Elephas maximus indicus: one gene and its partner. The protein of the gene in region 1 purifies or fractionates together with the protein of each later gene. This does not show direct contact. Links are inferred from orthologs where the notes say so. Each region holds a gene or a part of one and is shown on either strand. Other genes may lie near its edges. The genes, in order: SNAP25 and STX12.

The links.
Region 2: the proteins of SNAP25 (region 1) and STX12 purify together in Homo sapiens (co-immunoprecipitation; 3 studies listed by BioGRID and IntAct, with this or other methods). This does not show direct contact. The link is inferred for Elephas maximus indicus from reciprocal best matches to the Homo sapiens genes SNAP25 and STX12.

The regions. Positions count from the first base shown.
Region 1 is NC_064843.1:48,986,346-49,003,442, reverse strand, and holds the start of SNAP25 (synaptosomal-associated protein 25), read right to left. Parts: upstream 8,946-17,097; 5' UTR 8,814-8,945; intron 1-8,813.
Region 2 is NC_064821.1:68,155,404-68,171,981, reverse strand, and holds the start of STX12 (syntaxin-12), read right to left. Parts: upstream 9,178-16,578; 5' UTR 9,062-9,177; coding exon 8,944-9,061; intron 1-8,943. UniProt on the Homo sapiens protein: SNARE promoting fusion of transport vesicles with target membranes. Together with SNARE STX6, promotes movement of vesicles from endosomes to the cell membrane, and may therefore function in the endocytic recycling pathway.

The DNA of each region.
Region 1 (17,097 bases):
GTGGTGGAAAATGGTTTGCATAGGGAGAGGACCGAACTAACTGGAATACTGGAATATACTGGAATATAGATATGTATTTAATGTCACTAACGACATTCAGAGGAGCCCTGGTGGTGCAGTGGTTAAAGTGCTCAGCTGCTAACTGAAAAGTAGGTAGTTTGAACCCACCAGCTGCTCTATGGGAGAAAGATGTGGCAGTCTGCTTCCATAAAGATTTACAGACTTGAAAACCCTATGGGGCAGTTCTACTCTGTTTTATAGGGTTGCTATGAGTTGGGATCAACTAAACGGCCAAGAGTTTGGTTTTGGTAACAACATCCAAGTTGACCGTCATGTAAATGGAGACAAATCTATATAAGAACATATCTTAGATATTTACTTAGCTCCTTGAAGACTGAGGCTGGTTCTTAATACATATATTCTGTTTATGAAGTAACAATCTGTCTGTGGATACTGACCACTCAATAGATAACCTTAAATCAATTGCATATTTTGGATAGAGTGCCAAGTTATTTTCTAAGTTTAGTCACTTTCTTAACTCCACAAGGGATCCTATTTGAAATATGTTTTCTAAAATAATAATGCATCTTACTACCTCAAAAAGGGATACCCAGAATATTGCATAAAATTGCATAGAGGGTAGGAATATGCCCATTTTATTTACTGCTGTGTCCTCAGTAACCAGCATAAATGTTTTCCAGGCACATGGCAGGTGTTCAGTAAATATTTGTTAAGTAAATTAATTAACAAAGAATAGCTGACATACGTTTGAAAAATCCATGAAAAATACATGGACGGTCATCTTGAAATTGGAAAAAAAAGATACTCGGCAATTTCCCAGGTATAAATCAGAAACAATATCTTGTTTTTTAGTGTTTTACTGAAGTTATAACAGAATTTCCCATTAATTTTTTTTTTTTAAATCCACTGAACAGGACTATGGCATATTGAAAACATTTATCAGTGTTCTTCCCATCAGCTTTCTGGCATTTATTTTCCTCTACTTTTGGTCTAACTATGAAGAAGACAGTGTTATTTACCTATGAGTAGCTGTCAGACCAACCTCTGACTAACAGCAGGACAATTTAAGAAATTCACTGTTTTGCAATTTGTTGGTCTTTATTCTTTGAAACTGCACAAAAGATGAATATGAATAATGGAGAGCAGCAATTCAGTTTGAAAATCTCCATGGAAAATAGACTCTGTCCAACTTGCAAGTTTCTGAGAGCTCAGCTGCTACATGAGGCAGGAGTGCAGGGCTGATCTCTGGCCTCAGGAGGGCACCTCAGAGGCTCTCATTGCCTTACTTGCCATGATCAGTAAATGGCAGAAAACACTGATTCAAGCCTGCAGGCATGGAAAGTCATTTCCCAAGTTCAAAATCTGACACTAGTGTCATTTGGATATAAGAAGTATGGGGAAGCTGTGACCGGACGGTCATTTTGTAGACCTGCTACTTTAGGAGGAAAATAACCTTGTTCTTCGGCTTTCAAAATGGATCATATGGGAAAGCCAGACCTGGTGGCTTAGCAGGGTTACCATGTCTGGCCTCCCAGGTCAAGTGCAAACAGTCTCAATTCAAGACATGAGAATTTACCAACTATGGGTAGAAAAAAAAAAAAAAAAAAAAAATTTTTTTTTTTTTATGGGTAGTAGGAATCCAATCAAACAAACAACAACAAAACCCCAAAGCAGAAGAAAGGATACATGAGTTGTTTTACTTCCTTCTTCACACGAATTAGAATCGGTTTCCTCTACTAGCTAAGAGGATCAAATATGCTTTTCCAGGATCAAGGAAAGCAAGCCATAAACCGAGTGCAGCTGTCACTCAACATCAGTCCTGAGCAGGAATCACAATTCACTTTGACTGAGTTTCCCCAGAATGGTTGCTAAGCATTTAAAAGCAAACACTAATCCATAAAGGGGATTTTCTCCCATCTCTTTTTGAGGATACAGTTTTGTCCTTACCATCAGTTAATCACTCCTGAGGTTAACCTCTGTGAGTCAGCAATAAGAAAACAAGTTAAGTCTTCCCTCTTTTAATACAGTGCTTTTTCTTGGTGGTGAGGTGCTGAAATCTGCAATAGGAATGGGGTTGGAACGAGGGGAACCTGCCTTTTCTGTGACTTTTCAATTTAATTCACATGTGACTATGAATTTAATTATTAAATATTGTACCACCAGCTGCTGTGGTGGTACATTTTTTTAGTCTCTGAATGTTTAATTTTGTGTGTTTTGAAGCTTCCTCTTCTTGTTCCTTGTCCTTAACGCTTTCTTGAAATAGTATTTTACCCCTTCATTCTCTCAATCTGATTAGTTTTTGAGCTGGCTCCCAGTATCACGTGATTCAGGTCATATGGAAATGCTACTTTTTAAGTATTCACGAGCTCACAGATTCTATGAAACCTTCTGTTTTCTCTTTTCTAAGTGGCAAACAGCAAATGGAGTCAGGAAATAGCAGCTAATATATCGCCTCAAGCTAGAAATAGGAAACGATCAAAAAAGGGTATAGAAGAGAGAGAGAGAGAGAAAAAAAGTCAATAGACTAAAAAAAATAATTACAAAAAGTTTAGGCAGGTTTTAGGGAATAACCTGTGCCTCACAGCCATAAATCAGATTGAGAAGTGATGATTCAGACCAGGGCTTTGAGGAAAGAGACAGAATTTCAGTCTGACTGGAAAGGCTTCAGAAAGATGATGTCAAAGCAATTATAGAACAAAAAGAAAAGAGAAAGAGAGGAAAGGGAGAGAGAGAGAGGAGAGAGATCGGGAGTGCGGTGGGGAGGCCGCGGATGCGATTAATCTTAGGATGTGGGGTCAGGTCAGTTCCTGAAGCATGATTAAGGCAGTGCCAGCTGAGACCATGTGGTCACTTGACCCAGAGCCATTGATTGCTTGGGGTTTCAGCACTGGTTTTGTTGGCAGGGAGAGTGGACAAAATTAGTCCACTTCGGTCATTCTGCAGATGAAAAAACTGAGTTCAACAGTATTTGACTGATTTATTCAAAGATGGTCTGATTCTAAAACAGGATATTGCAAGCAGTTGTTTCAGGGATATACCTGGGTCTCCTGGCTCCCTGACCAGCATCCTTGCCATTGCCCTATGCTGCCCACCGAGGGGGAAAAGACATTGTGACAAACAAAACAAACAAACAAAAACCAAAACCCATGTAATTCTCTTGCCTTCTTGGACCAATATGAAGCAGGTGGAAATGATAGAGGTAGCATAGTGTGTACTACAGTTAACTCTCTGGAGTCAGACTGCCTGCACTTAAATCCCACCTCTGTTCCATGGCTTTAGGCAAGCTACTTAGTCTAACTCCGTTTCAAGTTATTCACCTGTAAAATGTAAATAATTATAGGGTGGAAACCCTTGTGGCGTAGTGGTTAAGTGCTATGGCTGCTAACCAAAGGGTCGGCAGTTCAAATCTGCCAGGCGCTCCTTGGAAACTTTATGGGGCAGTTCTGCTCTGTCCTATAGGATTGCTATGAGTCAGAATCGACTCGACGGCACTGGGTTTGGTTTTCGTTTTTTTTGAGCTATAGGGTTGATACAAGAATTCAATGAGCTAGTACAGGTGGCACTGGGCACTGGGTAGTACAGGCGAAGCTTTCAGGGCAGCTGGCTCACTTTTCTCACCCACAAGCCTATTCTCTTTGGGGCATCTCTACCCTTCTAAATCAGATTTTTGGCTTTCTAAATGTTACCTAATACTATACCTAAACTCATATGAATTATGTTTTGCACCATTTATTTAGAAATAGGTCAGAAACTGCTTGGACTTTTGTCTAATATTAGGTGAAATGCTTTGAGATCCCTGTAAAGACAATTATGCAGAAAAGAGAAGCTACTATTGTTATTCTCATTTTTTTTTCCCCATTGCTGCCGAGTCAATTCCGACTCCTAGTGACCCTATGGGACAGAGTGCAACTGCCCCCACAGAGTTTTCAAGGCTATAAATCTTTAGGGGAGGAGACTGCCACATCTTTCTCCTATGGCACGGCTGGTGGGCTCCTTATTATTGTTATAGGAATGAGCAATTCTGAAGAGTTCTCGGTGGCAGCCGGGGCTCTCTGGAAATTTCTTTGGTCTCCCCCCACTTTCCCATGAAAGACTAATTTCAAGTGTTTCTCTGCTTCCATGCCCTGCTTCCTCAATACCATATCGCATCTCCTCTTTCCTCTTACCTGAGGGGTAGGGGGCCCTCTGGACTCAGTTTAATAATCACCAGCCTAACCTCCTCTAAAGTATACGTCACTGCCTCCAAATTTCCCTGGGTAGTCAGCTTGGAAATCAAAACAACATGGTTTTGCCTCCCTTGCCAGTGTTGTAAAGCACAGATAGGCATAGTCCCTTTACACTCCATCATCAGGATTAAAATAGCAATAAAGTCCGCGTCTGCAACTGTCATTTCTTCCTCCACATGAGGCCATGGACTATTTTGGTTCGGCAGTTTTGCCAGCATTTGGAATTTGAAGCTCCGCCATGGCCATAACCATAATATTAAAAAGGAGATGGGTACAGTTTAGGTCTTGGGTTAGCTCTCCAGTGAGGGTAATCAGCAAAAGTCAACAGGATGGGTAGAGAAAGAAATACTATATATTGCTCACCTCACCTCACACCAGTTTTCTAAATTTTACCATAGCATCTCCTTTTTCTTTCATATTTAGTCACTTGGGGCTGGTTCTATTTGTCATACTGCCCAAAACATGCGCAGAAAAATGGCATCTTTTTTCATCAGTCTAGCGGTGTTTTGACAAAGCAGAGTACGCAGGGGGTCCAAGACAGTGTTCTGCATGGCCTTTGTCATTCAAGTGTGCCTTCTGGTGACCTCATCAACAGATTCCTAACCTGCTTTTCAATCTCTGACAGGTGCTCATCTTGAATATTTTGCTCCAGTCAATCATGGAAAATTGAAACTTAAAATTAACTTCTGGGCAGGGCTTATATGTCCTTGTAGGTCTAAGCATTTCAAAGTATGATTTTAAAAGGTGCCTCAATGAGGATTGATTAATTGATTTTTTAAATTAAAAATCCCTTATGATACCAATCTGCTCCCCTCTATTTCTGGAAGAGCACAAATTTAATCCACTCAGTCAATACCAATTCCTGGATACCAAAAACGACATTGTTAACTTTGAAATATCACCTTTTACTCAGAAATAAACTTTAGAGGATAAAGGAAGAAATCCTCAGCTTGGCAGGCAAAGCCTTCCACAGCAGGCTCCAACCCTTCTTCCAGCATACTCCCTGATGAAAGTTCTCCACTCCAACCGAATGGAGGGGCATTTTTAGGGTGGGCTTGACTAACTTGACGTTCTGCTTATGCTGTAATTTTTACTTAGCAGATCCCCCCCCAACCCAGCGCCGGCGACCTCCAAGAGCCAACTCCAGTCCTGCCTCCTCTTTCAGCTCAATCTAGTCCTCCTCAGAATTTACAGTCCTAAATTTTGTTTTTTTTCACATGGCAACTAATTACACACTCCCTCATGATTATTATTCTACTGTTTTATTGAGTTTTCATTTTGGTATTATTTATTCATTTTTATTAAGATCGCTAGATGCTAAACTTCTTGAGGCCAAAAGCCATATAACCATGAGACTTTCTAGCCCTGGTAGGGTTCATTTATGTATCTGGTGCTCACTGATTGATCAATATCTTCCTATCAGATTGGCCCCTGGTGACAAGGGATGACGCTGCAGAAATGTATCTGGTGCCGAGGTTAAAAACACCAATTTTATTACCGTTGTAAAACTGTAAAGCAGTTTCTGTAATGTGAAAAAGCTAGTTTATTCATACTGCAGCCTCAAAAAAGCAAATTTATCTATTTTTCTGCTTCTTGTTTCCTCTCTCAACCTGTTTCTCAAATTATTTCTCTCACTTTTACAGATCCTTCAAAACCTACATGTTTTGCTGAAGGCCAGTTACTACGCAGAGAGGTGCCACTGGCAGAAATATCAATCTTCTGGTTGATACTCTGGGGTTAACATTTGGAATTCAGGAAATGTCTTTAGACAAGCTAATTATGGGTCAGTTTGTGTTGTGTGTGTATGTGTGTGCACATATGTGGTTGCGCAGGTTCAGCAAAGTAAAAATAAAATTGTGAATTTTTAGGAGGTGGTGCCATGGGAGGTTAAGAAGATTATAAATTGTTTTGTAATCCGAATGCCACAGTGGTAATGCAGAAAATGCCAATGGCAGGCAGGTGTTACCGTCAGAGGGTCTGCGTCAGTGCTTCCTGGCTGGTCCTTGTGTCCATCTGCTCCTGCCTCTTCTTACCATATTGCCCTGGATTTTTAAAATTTGAAACCTAAAATGGAAAAGATCTGGATTTTTTTTTCTTCTGAAGCTTGTCAATAATATCAATGTTAAATTCATGCCTCAGTGATGTTTTTTCTTTAATTTTTCAGGAAGATGTCCTAGAATTCGCTCCATAATTTTGCACATCTCCTCTTCCTCCCAGCTCTGTGCCCTTTGCCAGCTTCACTGCAGTCCTCTACCGCCCTTCCCCCCTCTTCCACTAGCAAATAAACCCAGCAGTAATTACTAATGTCCAAGGATGTATTTCCGGCAGCGTTAGGCTTTCATTTGATGCAACTACGCAGAGAGCTGTCTGGACATGAAGCATGAAGTCAAAGCATTTTTTAAGACTCCTGCCCATCTTTTTTTTCTCCTTCCTCCCATCACTAAAACCCAATTGTTTATTTCTTCTGCAGATTGCAGAGTTATAAACTTCTTCCACACAATTACATACTCTTGAATACATTTCCACCCAAATAATTTTACATCCATGCACAATAACAGATCAATATATACATATTTGGAAATTCATGGTTATCTATAAAAACAAAAATAAACACTAGAAAATAAACAAATAGCTGGGAGCAAAAGTCCTTCTATGTGGATAGGGCATTTTAACACCTAGTATACAAATAATTAGTGTTACCCTGGCTAAAAACATTCCAAGATCTTATTGTGAGGCTTTTAAGAGGGTCATGATGGCGTTTCCTTAATGCGTTGTATATATTTTTTACATACGACACAGTTACTCTTATTTACCAATGACTCTATTATAATACTACTATTTTGTTCCTGGTCATTTCATGCCAATTTTATCTATATCAAATGGAAAGAAAGCTCTCTGTAATGATTTTTGCTGGCTCAGGGGCTCCAAGCCTCAGAGTAGAAAACGGTCAGAATACTTATCACCACCTCAGCAAAATCCCGCAGTGCCATAAAAGAAATTGCAGTAGATCTTAAGGTCAGAGTCTACTTTCAGTCTAACACTGTGGTTCTTTCACCTGCAGTACGCTGAAGGACACAGTTGGATCCACCTAAGAAGACCACTCTTAATGTTGTCAAAATCACAAACTATTGGCCTGAGATAGCCAGTATTCACAGGAAATACTTCCCCTAACTCTAAAACCATTAGCAAAGAGGTTAAATCTATAGACTGTGGGACTCGTAAATATTTATCAGAGATGTATTTGTGTGGGTGTGTGCTTGTATTCACACATAATTATAAGAGTGAGGGAAAAGACAGAGGGAGAAGGATTAATTCTTAAAGTAGTTGATTCTGTTTAGTTCAGCAACCCGTTTTTTTTTTTTTTTCACCAAATAGAAATACAGAGAGATGTATTCACTCCTATAAACGATAGTGTTGGCATCTTTATGTATACTACACTCATGCCTACCGAAGTTTCATAGACAGTGCAACGCCTACTCTATGTTAAAAACAAACACAAACGAAACCTTGATTATATAATTGGAGAATAAATACAAATTTTAAAAATGTGTTCATTTCCTATCTAAAAGGAGGTGAAGAGGGCATACAGAATGGTTCCACAAGTAGACTTTTTTTTTTTTTTTTAAGCTGTGCAGGAGGTGCGGAGGGAGCAAGTAATTACCTGCAAAGGAGTCCCTGTAGGCACGATTTTTTTTTTACCTACTACGCCTGCTCTATTAGGTATCTCTGTCTCCAAGAGGCAATTTGGCGTCCAATCCTGGCGCATCTCGCCCTGGCCAGGCACCTGTGCCGCAAGTAGCTGCGGCGCTGCGGCCGGATCGCTGTCCGTGGTGCTGGAAGGTCGCGGGAGCCAGCGCGGGCCCTGGGTACGCTGTCCAGGGTTCTGAGTGCGGGCCTCCGCAGTCCCCGAGGCGAGCCCACTGCCGCCAGCCCTCCACAGAGCCCTCCCACCCAGCATGACCCGCCCGCCTCCCGCCAGCCTGCAGTTGACGTGGAGCAGGCGGTATAAATCAAGTCCGTGGGGGCATGGAGGCTGCTGTCGCTGCCGCAGCTCAGCTGGCCCGGGGCGGGAACTCTCTCCTTGTCTTTTCGCCTCTCCAGCGCCCACCCTGCCTTGTCCTTAATTCTTCACTGGATAACTGCTTTCTAATCACAACGATCATAATAGGGTTAGGTGGACAGATTTTTTTGTCTGTTTGTTTTGGTCTACAGAAAAAGAAAACAGCATCCTAAACACCACTGAAAACTGCATCGCAAAATGGAAGAGAGAAGGTCCCACTACAGTTTGAAAAGAGTAAGTTATTATTTGGTACGTATCCTTGCGCTTCCTCCCATCGCTCCATCTGCAGTGTCCCCATTCATCCCTCCCCCCCTAACAGCTCACCTCGAAAATACTTTATAAAGCCCCAGGCGGGAGTCTAGCCAGACGCGCACACACAGAATACCGCACCCTAGGTGCACAAATACTTGTATTTACCGAAGCCCACTTGGTCTGCCCAGCTGTGGTCCCCTCTGAGTTTGCAGTCACCGAGATCCAGAACCATGGCCCAAGGAGGGGCTCCTTACCTTGGCTTCTCCAGAGGATGGTATTCGCCGGGACCCTGCAGGTTTCAAGTGTGGAGGAGCGGCCGAGCAGGAAGGGAAGGAAAGACAGCACCTGACCTCCCCGAGGTTTCGTCTTCAATGCAATGTGAGCTCTGCCCTCATCAAAGATGGCTGTCCCTTTTGACGTCAGCAGCTTTTAATAGCCATCTCCTGGAGGGGCGGGGAGGAAGTGTGCTGGGGGAGGGCGGAGGGAGGACAGAGGCTGGAGGTGGGAGGGGAGGAGCCGGAGGAGCGGAGCGCTTGACTCAGTTCCCTGAACGCTTCACTGCAAACCTTTGAATTTTAAGTCTTTTATAAACAGCCGAATGGGGCGATTCTTCTGACTCCATTTTAACAGTCGGTCTTGAGCAAACACATTTATCTCGCTACTATATATATGTGTATATACATATATATGTGTATGTATATGTATATATACGTATATGTGTATTTAATTTTTTATACATATATAAGTATGTGCATATATATATACGTATAACCCAAACCCTATACATATATATATATATATATATATATATTTTTTTCCCTGCTGAGTTGAATCATTGGTTGAGTCACAGTGGAAGGGGGAGGGGAAGACAGAGGACGGGGGGCGGTGATGGTGATGGAGGAGGGGTGTTGGGGGGTAGATTTCAGCAGAGATTTGTTTTCGCCAAAGAAGAGGGTTCAAAGGGGGCATCCCTGTCAACCCTGTCTAGTTCCATATATGGCCAGCCTACGTGGGTTGCTATTTTTATGAGTGATCTCTGTTTTATCAAAGCAGCATCGAGGGCTTGGAGTTCTCGTTAATGTGGTCAGTTGGAGAGAGAGTCGCAGACGTTATTTTAAAGTACGTCAGAGCAATTATCGCCGTGATATATCAAACGACTTGGGGACGCGGAGGAAAGGCAGTTAGCCCAACCAGCGTCGTCTTGCTAGGGCTCCAGGCTTGCAGTTGCGGAGGGCAACATAGATGATGCTGTTTTCGGTTGAATTTGCAATAGGAGTCTGGGGTTTGACGTTGAGTATCTTTTTTTATCCAGTAGGGCACGTATATGCCTTACAGAATCATAGAACCGCCCAGACCTCCAGAGAAAAGTAGAAGGCTGCAGGTTCAAGGGTGGCTTGGACACGACAAAATTCTGGTGGTTCATTCGGTGCGCAAACCCTGGGTTGGGGTCCCGCTGATGCTCAAACAGGGCATGGGCGAGAAAGGCTAGTTTTGCTGGTCATAAAAGATTAAAAATAATAATCATAAAGCAATAATCCTAACGGTCTTCCCTCGTGCATTAGGTGCTGGGGGGGGGGTTATGCAAACAGTTCCGCGGTGGCAGCCTCTGGATGATTCACAGGTGTTGGGGAGGCTGTCGCGGGGCTCTCCGCGGGGAGGGCGAGCTGGGGAGCGCGTGGGAGGTGGGGGACCTCAGCTGAGGAACTGTTTGTACTTTTCCGGGAGGGATGTGATTAGAAGTCGTGCCTTGCAACGTTAAAACTTGATGGCCTCTTAGACGATGGAAAATCCTTGCCTTTTTTGGAAGAAACCTTTCAGAACTGGGTCTAGGAAAACAACACACAAGGAGCCCCTCTACCCCCTCATCCCCCCCTCCCCCAAACAGCCACCAGCTGGTTTGAGAGCCAAGCTTAAGCAATAATAAGGCTTTTAATTGTGCTTGATTGGAGAGAGAGAGCTCAGGAGAGGAGGAAAGTAGAGCTGTAAAGGGACTGCGTTTAGAGGGAGCAGAGCTGTCAGACTTTAATAAAGGACGCCTCTAAGTCATTGTTTCTTAAAGCTTCTCTGACTCAAAGGGTATTTTGAAATATTACTCTTTGCAATCACAATTAACAAATGTCATTTGGATTTTTATTAAAGCTGGATTTCTAAAAAACAAAAAAAAACCATGCTACTGAAATTTGTTTACTTAATTATATAGTAAACATTTAAAATTCCTATACCATAAACAACAAGAAAATCTGTAAAGTTCTTACTTATATACTGTTGAAAGTGTCCTAGCTCTGGCTCTTACTTTTATTACAAAGCAGGGTGGGCTAGGGTGGGGGAAGTGCTGGCATAGCAAAAGCTGTTACAGTTAGGATTGTTTCCAAAATGTGGCACACACACAAAAAGACAGCATGTGGAAGTTCGGGGAAGAAAATCCTGCAGTGGGGAGAAACAAAATATGTGTCTGGCCTTCAGACTAGAAGTCATTCAGGCAGAAAGTTTTGTGAAGGAAAAGAGGAGGTGGGGGAATTTCCAGATCAAAAAAAAAAAAAAGTATAAAGGAATCACATCAGTGATGGAGGCTCATCCTACAGACAGAAGCTGAGTGGAAGTCACCAGGGGAGGGCTGGCGTGGCGTCTGAGCTTTCAACAGCTGATGTCCTACACTGACATCTTTAAAAATGATAGATAAGAAGAGAGAGCCAGGTTGATTCAAGACATCACAGAAAACATCACAGGTCCTAAAAGATATCTTGTGGTGGTCACAGCACTTTCCTTTCCCCTGTGTTTAGGTCAAAAATGATGTCCTTTGAAAGATTCATCTTATTCTGGGAAAGACAACAGAATCTAATTTGAGTAACATAAATATTGGACATTTAGCTTTATTTGGAGCTGAAAGTCTACGAAGGATGACCAAACCCAAGCCAAACCCATTTCCTCTGAGCGAATTCCGACTCATAGTGACTCTATAGGACAGAGTAGAACTGCCCCATAGTGTTTCTTATGGAAGCAAATTGCCACAGCTTTCTCCCACAGCGCAGCTGGTGAGTTTGAACCTCTGACCTTTCAGTTAGCAGCCAGAGCTTCTTCAAAGATGACTAGGTAGTGCTAAGGGGCCATAGCTGTGCAGTGGTTAAAGCGCTAGGCCGCTAACCAAACGGTTGGCAGTTTGAACCCACCCACCAGCCATTCCTGGGAGAAAGATGTGGCAATCTGCCTCCTTAAAGATTTATATAGCCTTGGAAACCCTATGGAGCAATTCTAAAAAAAAAAAAAAAATTTTTTTTTTCTATAAGGTCGCTATGAATTGAAATCAACTAGAGGGCAGTGGGTTTGATCCGTTGCCATCAAGTGTATTCCGACTCATAGTGACCCTGTAGGACAGAGCCCCATAGATAGTGCTAAATGCTTTTGGAATATAAGAATGAGATTTCCCCCTCTGCTTTTCTCATGGCTTGAGGATTAAAAAAAAAAAAAAAAAACAGAACAAAATGAAACAAACAAAAACAAAATAAAAGTCAACCTTGCCACAACCAGCAGATTTATTTTACTCAGGGTCTATAATGGCCTGAAGCACACAACGAAGGAAGGTGATGGAAAATTTGCTCCAAAATGATTCAGCTGCCTGTGAGTTATTTCTGCAAAGAACCAACACATAGAGTAACTAATGCTTAGGATCTCATTTGATGAGAAGTGAGGAAATTACCTGCTCAGCTGGATGGATATTTACACTATGCTAATTCAGTCTCTGAAAGGCTTTTCTGGTACAACATGCCCCAAAAGTATTCTGGTTCGCAATAGCTCCAGATCCAAGGAGTTTACCTTGTATTCTCTGAGGTCAGGGGCGAGATTCATAGATGACTCAATAATTACAACCTCATAAGGAATAATAGTAATAAAAACTTTTATAGAATGCCATATGATCTTCCAAAGTCAACTTGGAAGTAGTTTTAGAACAAGCCAAACTCAGAATCTCCCCTACTCTTACAACGTCCTCCTTTGGAGCATGTTTGAAACCCTGTGACAATGTCTCAAAAGACTGTTAGGGCATATCTTAGTCATCTAGTGCTGCTATAACAGACATACCACAAGTGGATGGCTTTAACAAAGAGAAGTTTATTCTCTCGCAGTCCAGTAAGCTTGAAGTCCGAATTCAGGGCTTTGGCTCCAGAGGAAGGCTTCCTCTCTCTGTCAGCTCTAGAGCTCTAGAGGAAGGTCCTTGTCATCAGTCTTCCCTTGGTCTGGGGGCATCTTAACACAGGAACCTCAGGTGCAAAGGATGCACTCTGCTCCCAGTACTGCTTTCTTCGTGGTATGAAGTCCCCATGTCTCTCTGCTGGCTTCTCTCTTTTATATCTCAAAACAGATTGGCTTAAGACACTACCTAATCCTGTAGACCTCATCAGTATAATTGCTGCTAATCCATTTTATTGCATCATAGTGATAGGATTTACAACATATACGGAAATCACATCAGAAAACAAAATGGTGGACAATCATACAATCATACAAGGGAATCATGACCCAGCCAAGTTGACAGATATTTTGGGGGACACAATTCAGTCCATGACAGGGCACAAGATTTGGGCACAAGAATATACAACTCAATAGATCAAAAAAAAAAAAAAGCCAAACCTGTTGCCATCGAGTCAATCCTGAATTGTAGGTACCCTATAGGACAGGGTTTCCAAGGAGTACCTGGTAGATTTGAACTTCAGACCTTTTGGTAGGCAGCGGTAGCTCTTAACAACTATACCACCAGGGTTTCCATTTAACAATGAACTATTTTTATTCTTTGGTTTGCTTTCCATATGGCTTGTTTGCCACTTTCTCTTTATATGTTCTTCTAGCCCTTACTCCAGTCCCCACCCACTTATAGGGAGTGACCTAGTAATACCTTGGGAAAGCTTAAATGCTGCAGATCTAAACTCCTCAGGCTGTCCTTATTCCCTGAAGCCTCTGAGGTAGGAATATATCTTGTGAGAAGTAGAAACAGAACCAGAAATATTCGTTTCTGTTTCTGGCTTGCCATGTTGAGGAAAAATAAGACTGTACACCCAGAATTTAAATAACACTTTGTTCTTTACTAAGAACAGCATTGTAGGAAAGAAGGGAAGGCACTGCTCACCAGCCAGAGGCTGGGTGCTTCCACACTCCTGTTCCATAATAAATTGCGGGCTCTCTTTTATACTTGAATGCAACTTGGGGCCCTCTCCAGTGCTGAGACACATCTTATAGTCAAGTGGCAAGGAGGAGTCTTAGGGTAATCAGGAGCAGAGGGGAAGGGGAAAATGGGGGTTAAAATTAGCAAACTTCACAAAGGCTATTTGAAAGGGATCACAATACTCCTTTAGCAAATCTTTTGAGAATCTTATTAGCTCTGTAACCTCTCTGTACCTCAGTTTTCTCATAGGAAAAATGGGGGATTATAAATGTACCCAACTTACAGAGAAACTGTGAAGCACTTAGAATTATCTCTGGCACTTGTCAAGTATTTACAGTGTCAAAAATAAACAACTCAGAACACCATTAACAGATTGTTACGCAGGTTTATTGGACAACTTCAAAGTCGGGCAGCACGTCATTACCGAGTAAATCAGTGCCCTGAGGAATTAAGAATCAGGGTATTTACAGAAAGTTTCATCAAGGACTTTGAATGAGACCATTTTGATTGGTGGACAATTATATCAGAATACATAAATCTTATAAGAGAGCAGTATGTACTCAAACATTATAAAGCATAGAAAAATTGAAATCTCCTAAGACAATCAGTGAGCCATGATTTTAAGACCTCTGGAGTTGTAGAAATGGGCCGTGTTCATTTATCTTCTATTATTTTCTGAAAGAACAAGTCCCAATGAGCCTGATCACCTAAATACAATTACGTGAAACTGAACAAGCTGCTTCTAAAGGCTAGTTACAATTTTAGGCATAACTAAGCTTAAAAATTATATATATCTCTATCTATGCTTACACAGCACATGGGTTTCTAACATTTAATAAGATGACCTTTAGTGTCATGGGCAAGAGAACACTCTCTGTTCGCATAAAGCAAAACTTATCATTTTATTTCACAACAGTATTGGTTAAATGAAAAAAATCTATGGATATGATGAGACTAACTTTCTTTCTCTAATTACTGACATGTAACTCTACTTCCATGGGAGAAAGATGTGGCAACCTGCTTCCATAAAGATTTACAGCCTTGGAAATCCAATTGGGGCAGTTCTACCCTGTCATATAGGGTCAGTACGAGTCAGAAACAAATCGATGGCAATGGGTATGGGTAAAATAGGAAGGGTTAATTTCTCCGTTAGCTAGATACATATCATTTAATTTCTTTGGGCCCTAGTTTTGTCATCTGTATTGTTTCATTCATTTACTTAACATTGAGTGCCTGCCATATACTTGGCATTAGAATATATTGGGACCTAGGTAAAACAGAGGAGAGACTTAAGGGTTAGAGAAGTTAAATAACCTGAACAACAACAACAAAATACCCCAAACCCATTGCCATCGAGTCTCCTATAGGACAGAGTAGAACTGCCCAATAGTTTCCAAGGAGCGCCTGGTGGACTTGAACTGCCAGCCTTTTGGTTAGCAGCTGTAGCACTTAACCACTATAGCACCAGGGTTTCCAGCCTGAACAAGGACACAGCTAAATAAATAGTATTGCTGGGATTTGAACCCTGAAACCCAAGCTTATAATCGTGTTACTCAAAGAAATTGAATCATAAGGTTTATTCCAAGCAGTCATTCTCTGTGTATATAGGGAGATCATCCTGATTCCAAAAAAAAAAAAAAAAAGCAAATGACTCACAGTAGGCTAGTTACAATGAATCTTATGAAGAGAGGAGGGAGAAGAATAGAAGACCAACCATTGGCTAATCTTAACATGATTGACTGAACCCTGCTTTCCCTCTTTTACTGAGATCAGTTTGTCAGGTTACTAGGTGACCCCCGGCTTGGCGGCTAAAAATTTTGGCTCTCCACCCACCTGCAGCCATGGACTTTGAGATTTAAAGTAGAGGAGCCTAAATCTTTTTCATTAAATCAGGAAGAAATGGTTTTGTTGTGACCATTCTTGTCTAGCAGGAGAAGAATTTTACATTGCTGTAGAGCAGTTTCTGGTGGGAACCAAATCAATCCTTTTGCAGTTTGGGTTAGACTTTTTAGGTTAATATTTGGTTTTATTTGGATAAGAAAAACCATAAAATCAAAGTGTGATGTCTGTTATTAATTTTCCTCTTTCACATTTCCCTGCTTCTGGTTGTGATTCAGTTAGAATCTTTGATCGCTAAGTTTTGGCCGGGTTTTTTCAGGTCTCATAGGTACTGCTTTATGGGGTACCTTTTTGTGAAACATATTATTTCTATTGGTTCCTTAGCTTTTTCACTTTGTTGTTCCTCTAGTCGAAAGGAGACCATTTGCTGTACCTTAGATGGCTGCTTGAAAGCTTTTAAGCCCCCAGACGCTAAGCAACTTAGTAGCTTAACAGAAAAGACTAAAATAAGGAGAATGCATAAGCCAGTAGTCTGAAAGGCTTGTCTGGTCCCCCCAAAAACCCGTTGCCATCCAGTTGATTCCAACTCATAGCAGCCCTGTAGGACAGAGTAGAACTGCCCCATAGAGTCTCCAAGGAACGCCTAGTGGATTCAAACCAAACTGCTGACCTTTTGGTTAGCAGCCGTAGCACTTAACCACAATGCCACCAGGGTTTCCTGGTGGCCCACAAACCCAAATTTCCTAACCATGACCCCAATCACAGGAAGATGCATAAGGGGCATCTCCAGCATGCATTGTATCTCCAACAGGAGCTTCTGCTAAAATTGTATCTCAATATATTTTCACTTAGATGCCATGGATATATATACACAACAGTTTGCTTTCACCAAAGCACAACCTCTTTCTTGGGAAGCAGGTAAATGATCAAATGATCAAGAGCTAAGCTATTCTATAATGCAATTATCCTTATCTGTGCTATTTCAGAGTATAGCATTATCTAGACTATTAATAGAGCCGTCTTGCCTAACATCATTTGTAACCTTTATATATATATATGGAAACCCTGGTGGCGTAGTGGTTAAGAGCTACAGCTGTTAACCCAAAGGTGGGCAGTATGAACCCTTCAGGAACTCCTTGGAAACCACATGGAGCAGTTCTACTCTGTCCTATAGGGTCGCTATGAGTTGGAATTGACTTGACGTCAATCGGTTTTATGGGTTTATTCTGGTTTATATATATATATGTGTGTGTGTGTGTGTGTGTGTGTGTTTTATATAGTTTAAACCAATTTTAACAACTATGGGTACCATGGCTTTTATAGAACAGCCAATTAATGCTCCATTTGTCAATGAAACCTGATTTGGTAGCAGTTTAGTCAATAGTTTGACGACCTTCAGTTTTAATCTCTGTCATATTTCCAAATTTTATTTTTGGCTAATTGATTATATATAGATAGATAGAGAACAACATAAACCATGTAACAAAAACGAGTCTAATCTGCAATTAGAAAGCAAACTCATTAGTTGTCTGTGGTTTCTCAAAGAC
Region 2 (16,578 bases), on another chromosome or scaffold:
GTATGGCTTCTGCAAGAGTACAATAAAGTGTTCTGGAATTCCATTCTTCATAATGTTATTCACAATTTGTATGATACACACAATCAAATGCCTTTGCATAGTCGATAAAACACACATAAATACCTTTCTCATGTTCTCTGCTTTCAGCCAAGATCCATCTGACATCAGGAATAATATCCCTCATTCCTCGTTTTCTTCTGAATCCAGCTTGAATTTCTGGCAGTTCCCTGCTGATGTACTCCTGAAACAGTTTTGAATGATCTTCAGCAAAATTTTACTTGCTTGTGATACTTATGACACTGTTTGATAATTTCTGCATTCTGCTGAATCATCTTCCTTTGGAATTGCACAAATATGGATCTCCTCTAGTCAGTTGGCCAGGTAGCTGTCTGCCAAATTGCTTTGCGTAGACAAGTGAGTGCTTCCAGCGTTGCATGTTTGTTGAAACATCTCAGTTGGTATCCCATCAATTCCTGGAGCCTTGTTTCTCGCCAATATCTTCAGTGCAGTTTGAACTTCTTCCTTCAATATCATCGGTTCCTGATCATATGCTACCTCCTGAAATGGCTGCACATGAACCAATTCTGTTTGGTACAGTGACTCGGTATTCCTACCATCTTCCTTTGATGCTTCCTTTGTCATTCAATATTTTGCCCATAGAATCCTTCAATGTTGCAACTCGAGGCTTGAGTTTTTTCTTCAGTTGTTTTAGCTTCTGAAATGCCAAGCATGTTTTTCTCTTTCAGTTTTCTAATTCCAGGTCTTTGCATATTTCATTATAATACTTTACTTTGTCTTCTTTAGCTGCCCTTTAAAATCTTCTGTTCAACTCTTTTACTTCATTGTTTCTTCCATTTATTTTAGGTACTCGACTTTCAAGAGTAAGTTTGAGAGTCTCTTCTGACATCCACTTTATTCTTTTCTGTATTTTTAATGACCTTTTGCTTTCTTCATTGATGATGTCCTTGGTGTCATTCCACAACTCATCTGGTCTTCGGTCACTAGTGCTCAATGTGTCAAATCTATTCTTGAGATGCTCTCTAAATTCAGGTGGGATATACTCAAGGTCCTACTTTGGCTCTCCTGGACTTGTTTTAATTTTCTTCAGCTTCAACTTGAACTTGCATATGAGCAATTGATGGTCTGTTCTGCAGTCGCCCCCTGGCCTTGTTCTGGCTGATGATTCTGAGTTTTTCCACCATCTCTTTCCACAGATGTAGTCAATTTGATTCCTGTGTATTCCATCTAGTGAGGTCCACGTGTACAGTAGCAGTTTATGTTGTTGAAAAAAGGTTATTTGCCCTGAACAGGTCATTGGTCTTACAACTTCCAACATCATGCGATTTCCAGCATCATTTCTATCACCAAGGCCATATTTTCCAACTTTCTGATCCTTTTGTTTCCAACTTTTGTATTTCATTCGCCAGTAATTACCAATGCATCTTGATTGCATGTTTGATTATTTCAGACTGCAGAAGCTGGTAAAAGTCTTCAATTTCTTTATCTTTGCCATTAGTGGCTGGTGTGTAAATTTGAACAATAGTCGTATTAACTGGTCTTCCTTGTAGGTGTATGGATATTATCCTATCACTGACAGCATTGTACTTCAGGATAGATCTTGAAGTGTTCTTTTTGATGATGAATGAGACTCTATTCCTCTTCAATTTGTCATTCCCAGTATAGTAGACCATCCCAGAACCCAGTACCAGTGCCGTCGAGTTGACTCTGACTCATAGCGACCCTATCATTATCCAATTCAAAATGGCCAATACCAATCCATTTCAGCTCACTAATACCTAGGATATTGATCTGTATGAGTTCCATTTCAAATTGAATGCCAACTAAATAATATCCACTGCTGTGCCAGGCACTGTAGCTAAAGAGAAATATATAATGCATGGTCTCTAGCCCCACAAAACTAATAGTCATCTCTCTAGATGTTATGACAGGTCAAAAAGCATGAATTATATGAAGAAACACAATATAAGTAAGTGCTAAACTGTGAGGGGAAAATGCTTACAAATCCAAAGAAAAAAAAATAGCTACCATTTCTATAGCACTTATGCCATATGAGTTAGAATCAGCTCAATAGCAACAGGTGTGCCACAGGCATAGTGTTATGGATTGAATTGTGTCCTCGAAAATTATGTATTATAAATCCTAACCTCTATGCCTGTGCTTAAAATCCCAGTTGGGAATGGATTCTTTGTTATGTTAATAAGGCAGGATTAATGTAGGGGGTGTCTTGAGTCAATCTCTTTTGAGATATAAAAGAGAGTAAATAAGAAAGCAATAAGCACAGATAGGCAAGTGAGATGCCAAGCCACCTCAAAATTGCCCAGAAGCAGAAGCTCAAAGAGATAAGAATCTTCCTCCAGAGTCAACAGAGAAAGCCCTCACCTAGAGCCGACACCCTGAATTGAAACTTCTAGCCTCCTGAACTGTGAGAAAATATATTTCTGTTTGTTAAAGCCACCCATTTATGGTATTTCTGTTATAGCAGCACTAGATGACTAACACACACTATTTTAAGCACTTTATATAAATTGCCTCATTTAATCCTCACACCCTGATGAAGTAGACATTATTATCAACTCCACTTTATAAATGAGGAAACAGAAATAGACAGGTAAAGTAATATGTTTATATAGCTAGTAAGAAGCAGATCTAAGATTGAGTCTGACTCCTGTACCTACCCACCTAACTGCTAAACTATAACGTGTGTGTGGTGGGGGGGGGGGGGGCGGGGGAGTGCTCAACAGGTAGTATCACCTTTTGTTGCATATCTACTGTGTGTACCAGCACTATATCAGAAAACTTCAAACATTCCTCTTTAACAATTCTATTCATTTTACAGCTAAGGGAGCAGACAAAAAAAGGAAAATAACCTGCCCAAGGTTAACAGTACACGCAGCAGCAGAGGCTCAATCCAGATCTGCTAACCCTAAGGCCCATGCTCTTCTGTGACTTTCCTTTACGTTTCAAAAGCAAAGGAAGGCTTCATTACAAGGGGAAGGATTTAAGCACAACTCAAAGGATCTGTATAATTTAGAGAGCTAGGAAGACAGGGAGAGGACAGATAGTAATGACAGGAGGAACAGGATGCGCAAGAACTCGAGCAAAAACAGCGTCCAGGAACATTAAGAAAAATAGCCTGCCTGTAGCAAAGGCTGAGGAGGAGTACAAAGTATGACTAGTGTGGGTTAAGATTTCAGAGAGAATGGAATGTTAAAATTTGATGCAGTAGACAACAGAAAGTCACCGTCAGCTCTTGAGGCGAGTGGCGTAATGAAAACGGGATTTTAGACATACATCACTGCTATGTTCATCCACATTATCAGGATAAAATAGAATGGGGAAAGAGTACAATGAGAGACACTAGCTTAGAGTATGCTGTTGGCATACAGGTATTGAGATTATAAAGATTTAAGAGGGTGGCAATGAAATAAAAAGCAAGGGGCAAATGTGAAAATAACTTCGAAAGAAGAATCCGCAGGATTTCATGATAATCAGTTTTAGAAGTTCAATTGCTTTTTGTTATTTTAGGAAACAAAAACATATCAATAAATTATCAATGTAAGGAACAGAAATGTTGTTTTTGAATCTCCTAAAATAGTTAACTTTGAGGCTGTTGTGCTTTTCCCTATAGTTGACCTTGCAATACTCCCCAGACCTTCCCTTCTACAATAGACAAAGCCAAGTATTTTTCCTCTGTGCCCCACACATTCCGATACCAGCCTTTTGTACCAGGCAGTCAACCTTAGCTGTACCTATAACAACCCCCACACAGTGACCTGCTGTATCTCAGGCTGATGGGTTCAGCAATTCCAAACCTGTGCCAGTGACTGGACAATTTAGAAAAAAAGACAGATATTCTCTCAAACTTTCAAAGGGTACTTGCAGGCCTATATAGTGTGGGATATACCCATGAGCTCACATTCAGAGGGTATACTTGAGTATGTTAGCCACATCTTAGAGAGGTTTGAGGGATAGGCACTAGTCATTTAACTGGGTAGATGCAATGTCGTTCTTCCAATTTCCTAATTTCTACTTCCTCACCAAACAACTCCAAGGGAAGAATTTCATCTTGTACTGTTTGGAGTCATACAATGTGGTAGGTACCAGATACTACTATATGGCATACAATGTGGTACCACATGGTATAAGGGGAAAGAGGCAGGAAGAGTTCTAAGGTAGCAGGAAAATCACATTCATTCAAATCAATTCAATAATAATTTATTAAGCATCAAGATATAAGATCTGATGCCCAGTTACCTCTCTGACCTTTTTTTCCTACTATGCACCCTTTTTTTTCTGGAACCCTGTGGCACAGTGGTTAAGGGCTCAGACACTAACCAGAAGGTCGACAGTTCGAATTCACCAGCTGTTCCTTGGAAACCCTATAGGGCAGCTGTACTCCGTCCTACAGGGCGGCTATGAGTTGGAATCAACTCAGCAGCAGCACGTTTTTGGGTGCACCCTTACGTTAACTGCAGTCGAGCCACACTGGCCTTCTCACTATTCTCTGAAAACACCAAGGTCTTTGCTCTTGCTGTTCTCTCTGCCTAGAATAGCTTCTCACACAGCTCCTTCCCTCACTTCCTTCAGGTGTCTACGAAAACGTCACCTCCTCAGAGAGATCCTCCTTGACCAACTTATCTAAAATAGCATACCCACCCTCCTCTCCCTTCACTCTCCATCCCTTTACACTATTTTTCTTTGTAGCACTTATTACTTGGGAATATACGTATGTCATTGTTGTTCAGTGCTGTCGGGTCTATTTAGACTCACAGTGACCCCGTGTAACAGAGTATAACTACTCTATAGGGTTTTCTAGGCTGTAATCTTTACAGAAGCAGATCTCCAGATCATTCTCCTGAGGAGCCGCTGGGTGGGTTCAAACTGCCATCCTTTCAGTTAGCAGCTGATCACTTAATCATCGCACAACCAGGGCTTCATACACAGACACACACACACACACCCTCTATCAGGGCAGGGGCTTTATCCATCTTTCTCATTCCTCTTACCCCGGTACCTAGAACAACACCTGGCACATAGCCAGTGCTCAAAGAATATCTGTTAAATAGGTGAATGAATGAGTCTCCCATATGCCTGGGACTGAGATGAGTACTGAGAATATAAAGATGAGTAAGTCATGTTCCCTGCCTCAGAGGAGCTAACAATCTACCGGGGAGACAAGACACACCACAAGAAGGGAATAGTAGAAACCCCACCACTTCAGAGTCTCCTCTGGAGAGTGGAAAAACAAGTCACTTGTATACTTAAGTGTTAGCTACTACAGAACTCTAATAGTAATTTTAAAAATTTGAAAAAGGCTAATTGCTGGTCATAAGGGACAGACCTGGTTTCAAATTTAGGCACTGCCATTTATGAACTAAGCAATTATTGAACTTCTGTCGGACTGTATCTTAATCCTTAAAATGGAAATTCTATTGGTACCTATTTCACAGCGATATTGGAAAATTAAGCCAGATAATACAGTGAAAATATCTTTCCTATAGCCTGGAACACAGTATGAACTCAATAACTGTTAGCTATCAGTGTTATCATGGTTGATTCCAATGACCCCCTTGAAGCTTTATCCAGTCAAAAACTGTGGTGAGTTGCTGTCGAGCCGAGTCTGACTCATAGCGACTCACAGCAACCCCACGTCTGCAGCACAGAACTGCGCCATAGGGTTTTTAGGGCAGTGGCTTTTTGGAAGCAGATCACCAGGCCTGTCTTCTGAGCCACCTTTGGATAGGTTCCAATTACCAACCTTTCTAGTTGTTAAGCACTTAACTGCTTGCATCACCCAGGGACTATTTAAGCCTTATCAATTCTATCTCCAAGGAAATATCTCCTATCCTTCCCTTCCTTTTCACTCTCACAGTCCCTAACTCGTATCTCTCATTCCAGTTATGAGTTAGTTCCATATCTCACTCAATTATACATTCTTAAAGAATTAAATCCAAGCCCCTTTGGATTTGAACTTGGATTTAAACCCAAACACTAAAAGCCTTTCATGTTTGGGCCCCAACTCATCTTTCCAACCCTATTTTCCACTGCTTTCCTGAGTCCATCACTCTAGCCATATTGAATTATTCTGCTTTTCTATATACACCCCCTGCCTTCCCACTACCATGCTGTTCCTCATTTTATTCCCTCTTTCTGGAATACTCTTTCCTCTTTACCTTCAAAAATCCAAACCCTTACCACCATCTTTCCAACCAAGCTCAAATGCCTTCCCTGATTCCTCTCAAGTGAAAATGGTCTCCCTCTCCTGAATACCCACATAATGTTATTTGTACCTCTTCTATAGCACTGATTCCTTTCAACCTTACATTTTGGTTGTTGTGGTGCAGTGAAGTACTTAATATGGCCCTTCTAGCCATAGTCTTTGTGACTCCCACACAATGATTGGGTCCCCAATCTACTGCCATTGACTTGACTCTAACTCATAGTGACTCTTTAGGACAGAGTAGAACTCCAGTATAGAGTTTCCAAGGAAGAGCTGGTGGATTTGAACTGCTAACCTTTTGGTTAGCAGCCGAACTCTTAACCACTGCACCACCAGGGCTCCAATGATTGGGTAGGACCATGCAAATAAGGTGTATGGACACTAATGAGGGGATTGGTCAGTTTTGCCACCCTGCTAAGCTTAAAAGAGAGCCAATTCCAGAGCAGAGGGGGAATCTGACTACCACCAAGAAGAGACAGGAGCAGAGAGTGTCCTTTGGATGCTGGGTCCCTGCACTGGGAACCTCCTAGAACCAGGAGACCAAGAGACAGAGCTGTAACACCGAAGAGGGTGGCAGCATAGAAACAGCGGCAGCAGAGGCAGCAGAACCAGGAGGCCAGCAGGAGACTATGTTGTGGGTGTGTTGACCCACTGAGCGAGAAATCTGAGCACCCTCAGGTAAGAGGCTTGCTGGTGGGTTGGAGTGGCTCCGGACACTTGTCAGTAGAGCTAGGTTCGCTGACCCACGGAGCCAGAGCTGAACGCCTTCAGCCGAGGCTTACTAGTCGAGTTGGTTGCCTCCGGGCACTTACCAGGAGAGCTAAAGAGCTTTGTAACGCTTGCCCAAGCAGGGCAGAGGTCTGGCCAGCCCAAGAGGCCCCGGGCCGGGGGGTGAGCCCATGGGCCAGAGAGAGGCCTGCCTGCTGCACAACCGAGAAGAGGCTGTCCTGATCGAACAGCTGTATCCTGAGCGTTCCTCAGCCTCAGTTGTAACCTGTTACTTCCCTAATAAACTCCGTAACTGTGAGTTCTGTATGGCCATTGCAGTGAATTATCAAACTCAGCAGAGAAGTAGAAAATGCCATGGGAGGGGTGGTGTCAGAATTGGTAAAAAGTTGGAGAGGAGTTATGTCTGACGTCCACCTTACATGAATCAGCCGTGAGCTGTTGATGCTGACAATGAATCTCCTCCCTGCCTTGTGAAGTTGGATGGGGAGGTCAGACACCACCCCCATGCCATTTTCACAGTTGTTTATGAACTGCACAGGCTCCCTGGGGAAAGAATTTTGTTTCGGTTCCTCTATTTTCTATATAGCCTGATACTCAAACAAATATATGTTGAATGAATATTTCACAAATACACAGACATTAAAATTCGATTTAGCCTCAACAACAGCTTTCTGCCTTGAACCAGAATTTTCTGATCTAACCTGCATTACTGCTCCCTCACAAGAGAAAATTGGAGCTTTCTAACCAGTGGTCATATTAATCTTTTTTTTTTTTTTTAATTCTGGGTTTAACAGGATTATATTCTTCTTTCCACTTCCAAATCAGCCAGTCTCAATCCCTTCCCATCAGAAACTTTCTGCCTCTCAAGTTCCACAATCACCATTTAAATTGAAAAGCAAAGTGATAGATTATTCTTCAAAATATAGAACAAAATTGTAGTACAGGACCAACTAGTTCTACCTATTAACAGAGTACAGCCAAGCTCAAAAAAACACAATCATAAGCGACGATAATGATCACCATTTGTTCCAAGTAAAGTTGCTGCTGCCCACCTCCTGTTTACAAAGCTCTGAGCTGATTTTCAGGCCCAAGATACAGGTTGTATTTGACTCATTCAGCTACAGCCTCACTCAGACCCTAATGGTGAGGAGGGAGTTTTAGGACAAACAATGACATTCTGAATTTCACCACTACCTACCAAGTCTTACTTGCTATGTGATTGTCGCCAAGTCCCTGGACTTCTCTGTGCATCAGATTTGTTCAAGAGTAGCTAAATATTAAGAAGAACAAAAGCCTCATATGCTTGAAATCCAAAAATATACCCAAATCCTTTGTTACGAAAAAATAATAATAATGTAAATTGAAACGTTTTTGGTGAATCCTCTTCATTAAAACAGAAGTCATCTCACTCAAATACTAATCATCACATCTGATCCCTCAACTCATTTACAAGAATTATGTATAAGTCACCCGAAAACATACACTCTCCACTTCCTTTAATTGAAAGTTGCTGATTTCCTAGGAGCCAGTGGCTGAGCAGAATGTAAACCTAAAGCCTAAATCAGTAAACAACCTCCGATCCAAACTGGCCCAAGAAGAAAGCGAGGTGGGTAGGGGGAAAGCGGGTGACAGGAAAAACTCGGCTGACCACTGCGCCAAGTCCACGCATTCACTGCTCTCCAGGACACACACACACACCCCCACCCTAGGGCTGTTAGCTGTGCTGTTGAGGCCTCAGCACCGTGGCGACAGAACTCCTGAGAAGAAACTCGAGCTTCAGCAGCGGCTCGGGACCCTCGGGGAGTCGGGCCTGACAGATTAGGGGATGGCAGCCCGGCGGCCCCAGCGTGGAGAGTCCAAGACAGCCTCAGGTGTGGCTTTGGTCTCAGAGCCGGTTGGGTTCCGCGTCCCGGCAGCCTCACCAGGCCTGTCCCGGGACGGCCCCCGCCCCCCAGCCCAGTCCCCTGTCTCACTGGCTTGGCTGATCCGCTGGATGTTGCCGCTGCATGTCTGGATGATGCTGTTGAAGTCCCGGAGTGGGGGCCCTGAGGGCCCCGGGTTCCGGTACATGTGTAAGGGGCCGTAGGACATGATAAGGAGCTGAGACCGGCTCGCCCTGCGCGGTGCTCCAACCGGAAGCAGCTGTCAGACGGGACCGGCAACCTGACGGGGAAACCGGGCACAGAAAGGGCGTGGAAGGGGCTGAAGCTGCGTGCGCACTAGCTCCGCCCCCATGCAGCGCGCACGCGTCCGCCCTGCCCCGCCCCGCCCCGCCCCGCAGCGCGCGGGCGCCGCTGAAACCAAAGCCTGGGGAGAGTTTAGACTAGACGCGCGGAAACTTGGGGATGCGGGCTCCTGACGTCACATAATTGGGACTCGGCTACTTGGGTGGCGGTGTTGTTTCTTGCAAAGACACAGTGACAGGCGGCAAGAATTTTCGATTTGCATAAAATTGTACCAGATGATCTCAGCCCTGACATCCTTTTATGTTCTATTCTGAGAATTCAGGCCCAAATATGGGAAAATTCGATAACCTCGAAACCAAGCCCCTGAAATTGCTCGCTCCACTTCTGAACTCTAGGGCTTTGGTAGTATTTGCGGGGCACTTTCACGGTTCACAAACGATTTTCATTTTTCCCTCCACCCCTCTTGTAATTCCAAACAATAAAATAATATTTATTGAGCATCTACTATGTGTGAATCCTCACTGCAATTCACTTGTTGATAAGTTTTTTCACGGCAAGTCACGATGTTCTATCTATATTTTTAATCTTCAGAATAGATAATGGACAAATTTTTTAAAATCTTGAAGTAACCAGGCAAACTAAGCATTATTATTTTCCTTTTTACAGATGAGAAAATTAAGATCATAGAGATTCTCTTTACTGAAGTTTGACTGCAAAATCTGTACACTAAGCTAACTCCATCATCACCTATTGCCCTAAAGTTTATCCCCTTATTCTCAAATTCATTCTCCATGTAAACCCCTCCCAAATAGCCTCTTCATCTGTATCCCAGACGGGGATTTCTTGGAGAACTATAGTCCCAAAATGTAAAAATCATTCCCTTAAGTAATTTGGAGAATAAGACCTCAATGTTCCAGTAAGACTGCATTTTGTCAGTGAAAGGAAAGGCATGGGTAGGATTTTGATTTGGGAGGGAGTCAAGACACTGGAGGAGTGAAGGGGAGCTGGTAGTGTGCTTTCCTGTGTTCTCCAGCAGCCCTGCCCTAGGTTGCTGTGCAGTCTGTGGGGAACGGCAGAGAAAGAGGAAGCTGCTTCCCTGTGTTTACATATGTGGGAAGGGGCCCCAAATGGGTAAATGAGCCTGCATTCAGGCTCAGAGCTATTATAAGCAAGACTCTCTTTTTCTTTAGTGCATTTATGAGAACATTTCTTTCTTCATAGAAAAGGACATGACATTTGGGGCTCTTGTTTTATTAAAACCCTGTCATTTCTTACAATCCATAGTTTCATGTCAAGTCTTACAGAAAATTATATAAATTGTACGTTTTACTCATAAAATACTGTTGAGGATGTTTTCATTTACATTTTCATTACATTTGACACTGTATAAAGTAAAGTTGAAAAGTACTATCTTAATAATGGAAATGATACCAGAGATCACATGATAGAATTTTGCAAGACCAATGACTTCTTCATTGCAAATACCTTTTTTCAACAACATAAACAGCGACTATATACGTGGACTCCGCCTGATGGAATACACAGGAATCAAATCAACTACACCTGTGGAAAGAGATGACAGAAAAGCTCAATATCATCACTCAGAAGAAGGCCAGGGGCCAACTGCTGAACAGACCATCAATTGTTCATATGCAAGTTAAGCTGAAGCTGAAGAAAATTGGAACAAGTCCATGAGAGTCAACGTATACACCTTGAGTATATCCCACCTGAATTTAGAGAGCATCTCAAGAATAGATTTGATGCACTGAACACTAATGACCAAAGACCAGACGAGTTGTGGCATGACATCAGGGACATCATGCATGAAGAAAGCAAGAGGTCACTGAAAAGACAGGAAAGAAAGAAAAGACCAAAATGGATATCAGAAAAGACTCTGAAACTTGTTCTTGAACATCGAGTAGCTAAAGTGAATGGAAGAAATGATGAAGTCAAAGAACTGAAGAGATTTTAACGAGCAGCTCAAGAAGACAAAGTAAGGTATTATAATGACATGTGCAAAGACCAAAAGAGAAGAACATGCTTGACATTTCTCAAGCTGAAAGAACCGAAGAAAAAACTAAAGCCTCAAGTTGCAGCATTGAAGGATTCTATGGGCAAAATACTGAACTATGCAGGAACCATCAAAAGAACAAGAAAGGAATACACACAGTCACTGTACCAAAAAGAATTAGTCGCCGTTCATCATTTCAGGAGGTGGTATATGATCAAGAACCGATGGTAGTGAAGGAAGAAGTCCAAACTGCACTGAAGACGTTGGTGAAAAACAAGGCTCCAGGAATTGACAGAATACCAACAGAGATGTTTCAACAAACGGATGCAGCACTGGAAGTGCTCACTTGTCTATCTCAAGAAATTTGGAAGACAGCTACCTGGCCATCCAACTGGAAGAGATCCATATTTACGCCTATTGCCAAGAAAGATGATCCAACCCAATGCAGAAATTATGGAACAGTATCATTAATATCACATGCAAGTAAAATTTTGCTGAAGATCATTCAAAAGCAGCTGCAGCAGTACATCAACAGGGAACTGCCAGAAATTCAAGCCAGATTCAGAAGAGGACGTGGAACCAGGGGTATCATTGCTGATGTCAGATGGATCATGGCTGAAAGCAGAGAATACTGGAAAGATGTTTACCTGTGTTTTATTGACTATGCAAAGGCATTTGACTGTGTGAATCATAACAAATTATGTATAACGTTGCAAAGAATGGGAATTCCAGAACACTTAATTGTGCTCATGAGGAACCTGTACATAGACCAAGAGGCAGCCTTTGGAGCAGAACAAGGGGATACTGTGTGGTTTAAAGTCAGGAAAGGTGTGCATCAGGGTTGTATTCCTTCACCATACCTATTCAATCTGTATGCTGAGCAAATAATCCAAGAAGCTGGACTATATGAAGAGGAACAGGGCATCAGGATTGGAGACTCATTAACAACCTGCATTATGCAGATGACACAACCTTGCTTGCTGAAAGTGAAGAGGACTTGAAGTACTTACTGATGAAGATCAAAGACTACAGTGTTCAGTATGACTTACACCTCAATATAAAGAAAACAAAAATCCTCACAATTGAACAATAAGCAGCATCACGATAAATGGAGAAAAGATTGGCGTTGCTAAGGATTTCATTTTACTTGGATACACCATCAACAGCCTTGGAAGCAGCACTCAAGAAATCAAACAACACATCACTGCACTGGATAAATCTGCTGCAAAAGACCTCTTTCAAGTGTTAAAAAAGCAAAGATGTCATTTTGAGGACTAAGGTGCTCCTGACCCAAAGCATGGTGTTTTCAATCACCTCATATGCATGCGAAAGCTGGACGATGAATAAGGGAGACCAGAGAAGAATCCATGCCTTTGAATTGTGGTTTGGCAAAGGATGTTGAATATACCACGGACTGCCAAAAGAACAAACAAGTCTGTCTCGGAAGGAGTACAGCCAGAATGCTCCTTAGAAGCAAGGATGACAAGACTTTGTCTTACATACTTTGGATGTGTTATCAGGAGGGATTAGTCCCTGGAGAAGGGTAAAGTAGAGGGTCGTCGAAAAAGCAGAAGACCCTCAACAAGATGAATTGACACAGTAGCTGCAACAATGGGCTCAAACATAACGACCATGAGGATGGCGCAGGGTTAGGCAGTCTTCCTTCTGTTGTACATAGTGTCGCTGTGAGTCGGAATTGACTCCACGGCACCTAACAACAACAAAGTAAAGTTCAGTAAAGGTATTTATCGCCTAGGAATTGAAGTTACAGTTGTTTTTTTCCTCCATTTGAAATAAAAGTAGTTTCCATCTGTTCATCTTTCATAGCAGTAAATTTGTGCCTTATACATGCCAAATATTTATTGAACTCATACATAAATAATAAAAATAACTACCATTTCTTAAATACCTATTAGGCGCCAAGCAATGTGCACACATTTTACATACATTATTGCTAATCCCCAAGGTAAAGACCATCTGTGGTCTGACAAAATTAAGCTTATTAACTTGCTGCAGCCAGGGAGACTGTAAAACAAGTGGATCCTGGAACATCTCATCAAGCACAGGAAGAGACAGAGTTAGTTATTCTAGGCTTTGAGGGAAAGATGGAGGGTAGGTAAAACGTAAAAGAAGCAGTATTTTGATAGCCTCAAAGCACACCCAGGCTATGTATAATAGGATTGACATCAGGCCTGAACTAACTCAAAGGCTTGGGAATCCTGTTTCCTTGGAAACTACAATGTGAAGATAAATGTGGAATGTTGTATCTGGAAATCCCTTATCTGAAGCTCTGCACCTGGGTTGGAAATTGAAACTGCTTCTCTCTGTCAAAGTAACCCAGGTTCTCAAAGCAAGAGTAGAATGTTCCATTCTTATATAATTTCCAACAGCAAATTTTCTGAAAATCTGATTTTAGAAAATAAGGTTTCTCAGCACTCTGTCCTTGTGTTAATTAACAAAAACAGTTTTTCAAGTTGACACTCAGGAAGGCAAGATTAGCTCCTTGGTACAGACAAGGAAACTGGTATTCTCTAGAGATTATGGGTATTTGCCCAAGGTCATACAGTTGTTAAGTGGCAGAGCCAGGACTCATACATAACCTATGACCCAGAAAGTCTACTTCTAATTATATATGCAACAGAAATCCATACATATGTGTTCCAAAAACCAGGTATAAGAACGCTCATAGCAGCATTTAAAAAATGTCTTAGGCAACTGGACTAAACCAAAAGCAGTTTCCTGAATAAACTGAACACTTCGAAGGCCAGCGTAGCAGGGGCGGGGGTTTGGGGACCATGGTTTCAGGGGACATCTAGGTCAACGGGCATAATGAAATCTGTTAAGAAGACAGTCTGCATCCCACTTCGGAGAGTGGCGTCTGGGGTCTTAAACACCAGCAAGCGGGCATCTAAGATATATCAATTGGTCTCAATCCACCTGGAGCAAACAGGAATGAAGAACACCAGACACAAGGTATTTATGAGCCCAAGAGACAGAAAGGGCCACATAAACCAGTGACTACATCAGCCTGAGACCTGAAGAACTAGATGATGCCTGGCTACAGCTGATGACTGCCCTGACAGGGAACAGAACAAAGAACCCCTGAAGGAGCACGAGAGCAGTGGGATGCAGACCTAAAATTCTTGCAAAAAGACCAGACTTAATGGTCTGACTGAGACTAGAAGGACCCCGGAGGTCATGGTCCCCAGACCTTCTATTAGCCCAAGACAGGAACCATTTCCAAAGCCAACTCTTCAGACAGGAATTGGACTGGACTATCATTTTTTTTTTTTTATCAGATAGAAAATGATACTGGTGAGAAGTGAGCTTCTCGGATCAAGTAGACACATGAGACTATGTTCGCATCTCCTGTCTGGAATGGAGACAGGAGGGCAGAGGGGGTGAGAATCTGACCAGATGGACACGAAATAGAGAGTGGAGAGAAGAAGTGTGCTGTCTCATTAGGGGGAGAGCAACTAGGAATATATAGCAAGGTGTATATACATTTTTGTATGACAGACTGACTTGATTAGTGAACTTTCACTTAAACCACAATAAAAATAAGAAAAAAAATTTTCTAAATGTCTAGGACTGAGAACGTTTTTCCTGTCTTTAATTTTTATTGAGTTATGACTGACATAGAATACAATGCACAGATAATAAGTGTTCAATTCAATGAGTTTTGATACTTGTATACACTCAGGTAGCTGCTGCCCAAACAAAGATATAGAGCTTTCCCGTCATCACCCCAGAAAATTCCCTCAAATCGTGCTTCTTTCCAAACGGTTCCCCTCGTGCTCAGAAATCATCTTCTGATTTTTATCACTACAAATTAACTTTGTGTATTCTTGGATTACAGAAATGGAATCGTACTGTATGTATTATTTAGTGTTTGGCTTGTTTCACTTAACAAGCTGTTTTTGAGATTTATCCATGATGTTGCATCTATCTGTGGTTTGGTCCTTTTTATTGCTGAGTAGTATTTCATTACATAAATATACAACAATTTGATTATTCGTTCTCTTATTGATGGATATTTGGGCTATTTCCAGTTTGGGGTTATTATGAATAAGGTCATAGCAGCACTTATTTTTAATAATTCCAAAGTGGAAACCACCCAAATTTCCATCAACAGCAGGATGGGTAAATTGTGGAACTACAGAGCAAAATAAATAAATAATAAATAACCTACCACGATGTGAATAATGTGGATGGCCTCTCCCAAACATAATGTGTAGCCAAAGAAGCCAGACACAAAATAAGTACATGCTACGTCATTCCATTTTTATTAAGTTCAAACCTGGGAAAAATTAAGCTATATTATTAAAAGTCAGAATTGTACCTTTGAGAAAAGAAGGAATGACTAGGAATGGACACATGAGGTGGGCTTCTAGAATGCTGGTTTCTTTATCTAGGTGGTGGTTATACGGATGTGTTTACTTTGTGAAAATCCATCGCCAGACACTTGTGAAGTGTGCCCTTTTCTGTGTGCACTTCAATAAATAAGTTTCGTATTTTAAACATAAAGCATTCTTATCACCAGTATGATGAGCTTCCTGAATCGTAGGGGAGGGGGGTCAGTGGAGGAATTCACTTAGATTGCAAAAAAGACTGCACTAAAATTAGCGGTCTATCATACATTGCTGGTGGGAATGCAAAACGGTACTTGCCACTTCAGAAGTCTGGCAGTTTCTTATAAAGTTAAACATAAACTTATTTTACAACCCAATAATTCAGCAATCCTACTCCTAGGTATTTACCCAAGAGAAATAAAAATACAGTGAAACCTCTGAGAGCAGGGAACTCGACCTGACTGCCCTGTTTTTCCACATCTCACAAGTTTTCTGACTTCGACAGGGTGCAGTCTTACCACTTTTCTATCGCTTGTTTTAGTGGAAAATATTTTAGTTTTCCCTCTCTAACAGGTTTCTGCTTTACACAGGTTCTGGCTTTCAGAGGTTTTACTACACATGTCCATACAAACACCTGTGTGCAAACATTTAAGGCTACTTTGTTTATAATAACCCAAAACTGGAAACAACTCAAATGTCCATCAGCTACTGAAAAGATAAACAAATTATGGTACATCCATACAATAGAAAACTATTCAGCTATAAAAAGGAACAAAGTACTGAAGCATGGGATGAACCACTGATATATGCAAACACGTGGCTGAATCTCAAAAGTGTTATGCTAAGTGAAAGTAGCCAGGCCCAGAAGGCTACATATTGTACCACTCCATTTATATGACATTCTGGAATAGGCAAAGAAGAGACAGAAATGAGATTAATGGTTGTCTGAAGCTGGAGTTGGGCTAAGGGTATCAACTACAAAGGATACAAGGGAACTTTTTGGGGTAATGGTAATGTTGCATATCTTGATTGTGTGGGTGATTAGGCAACTGCATACAT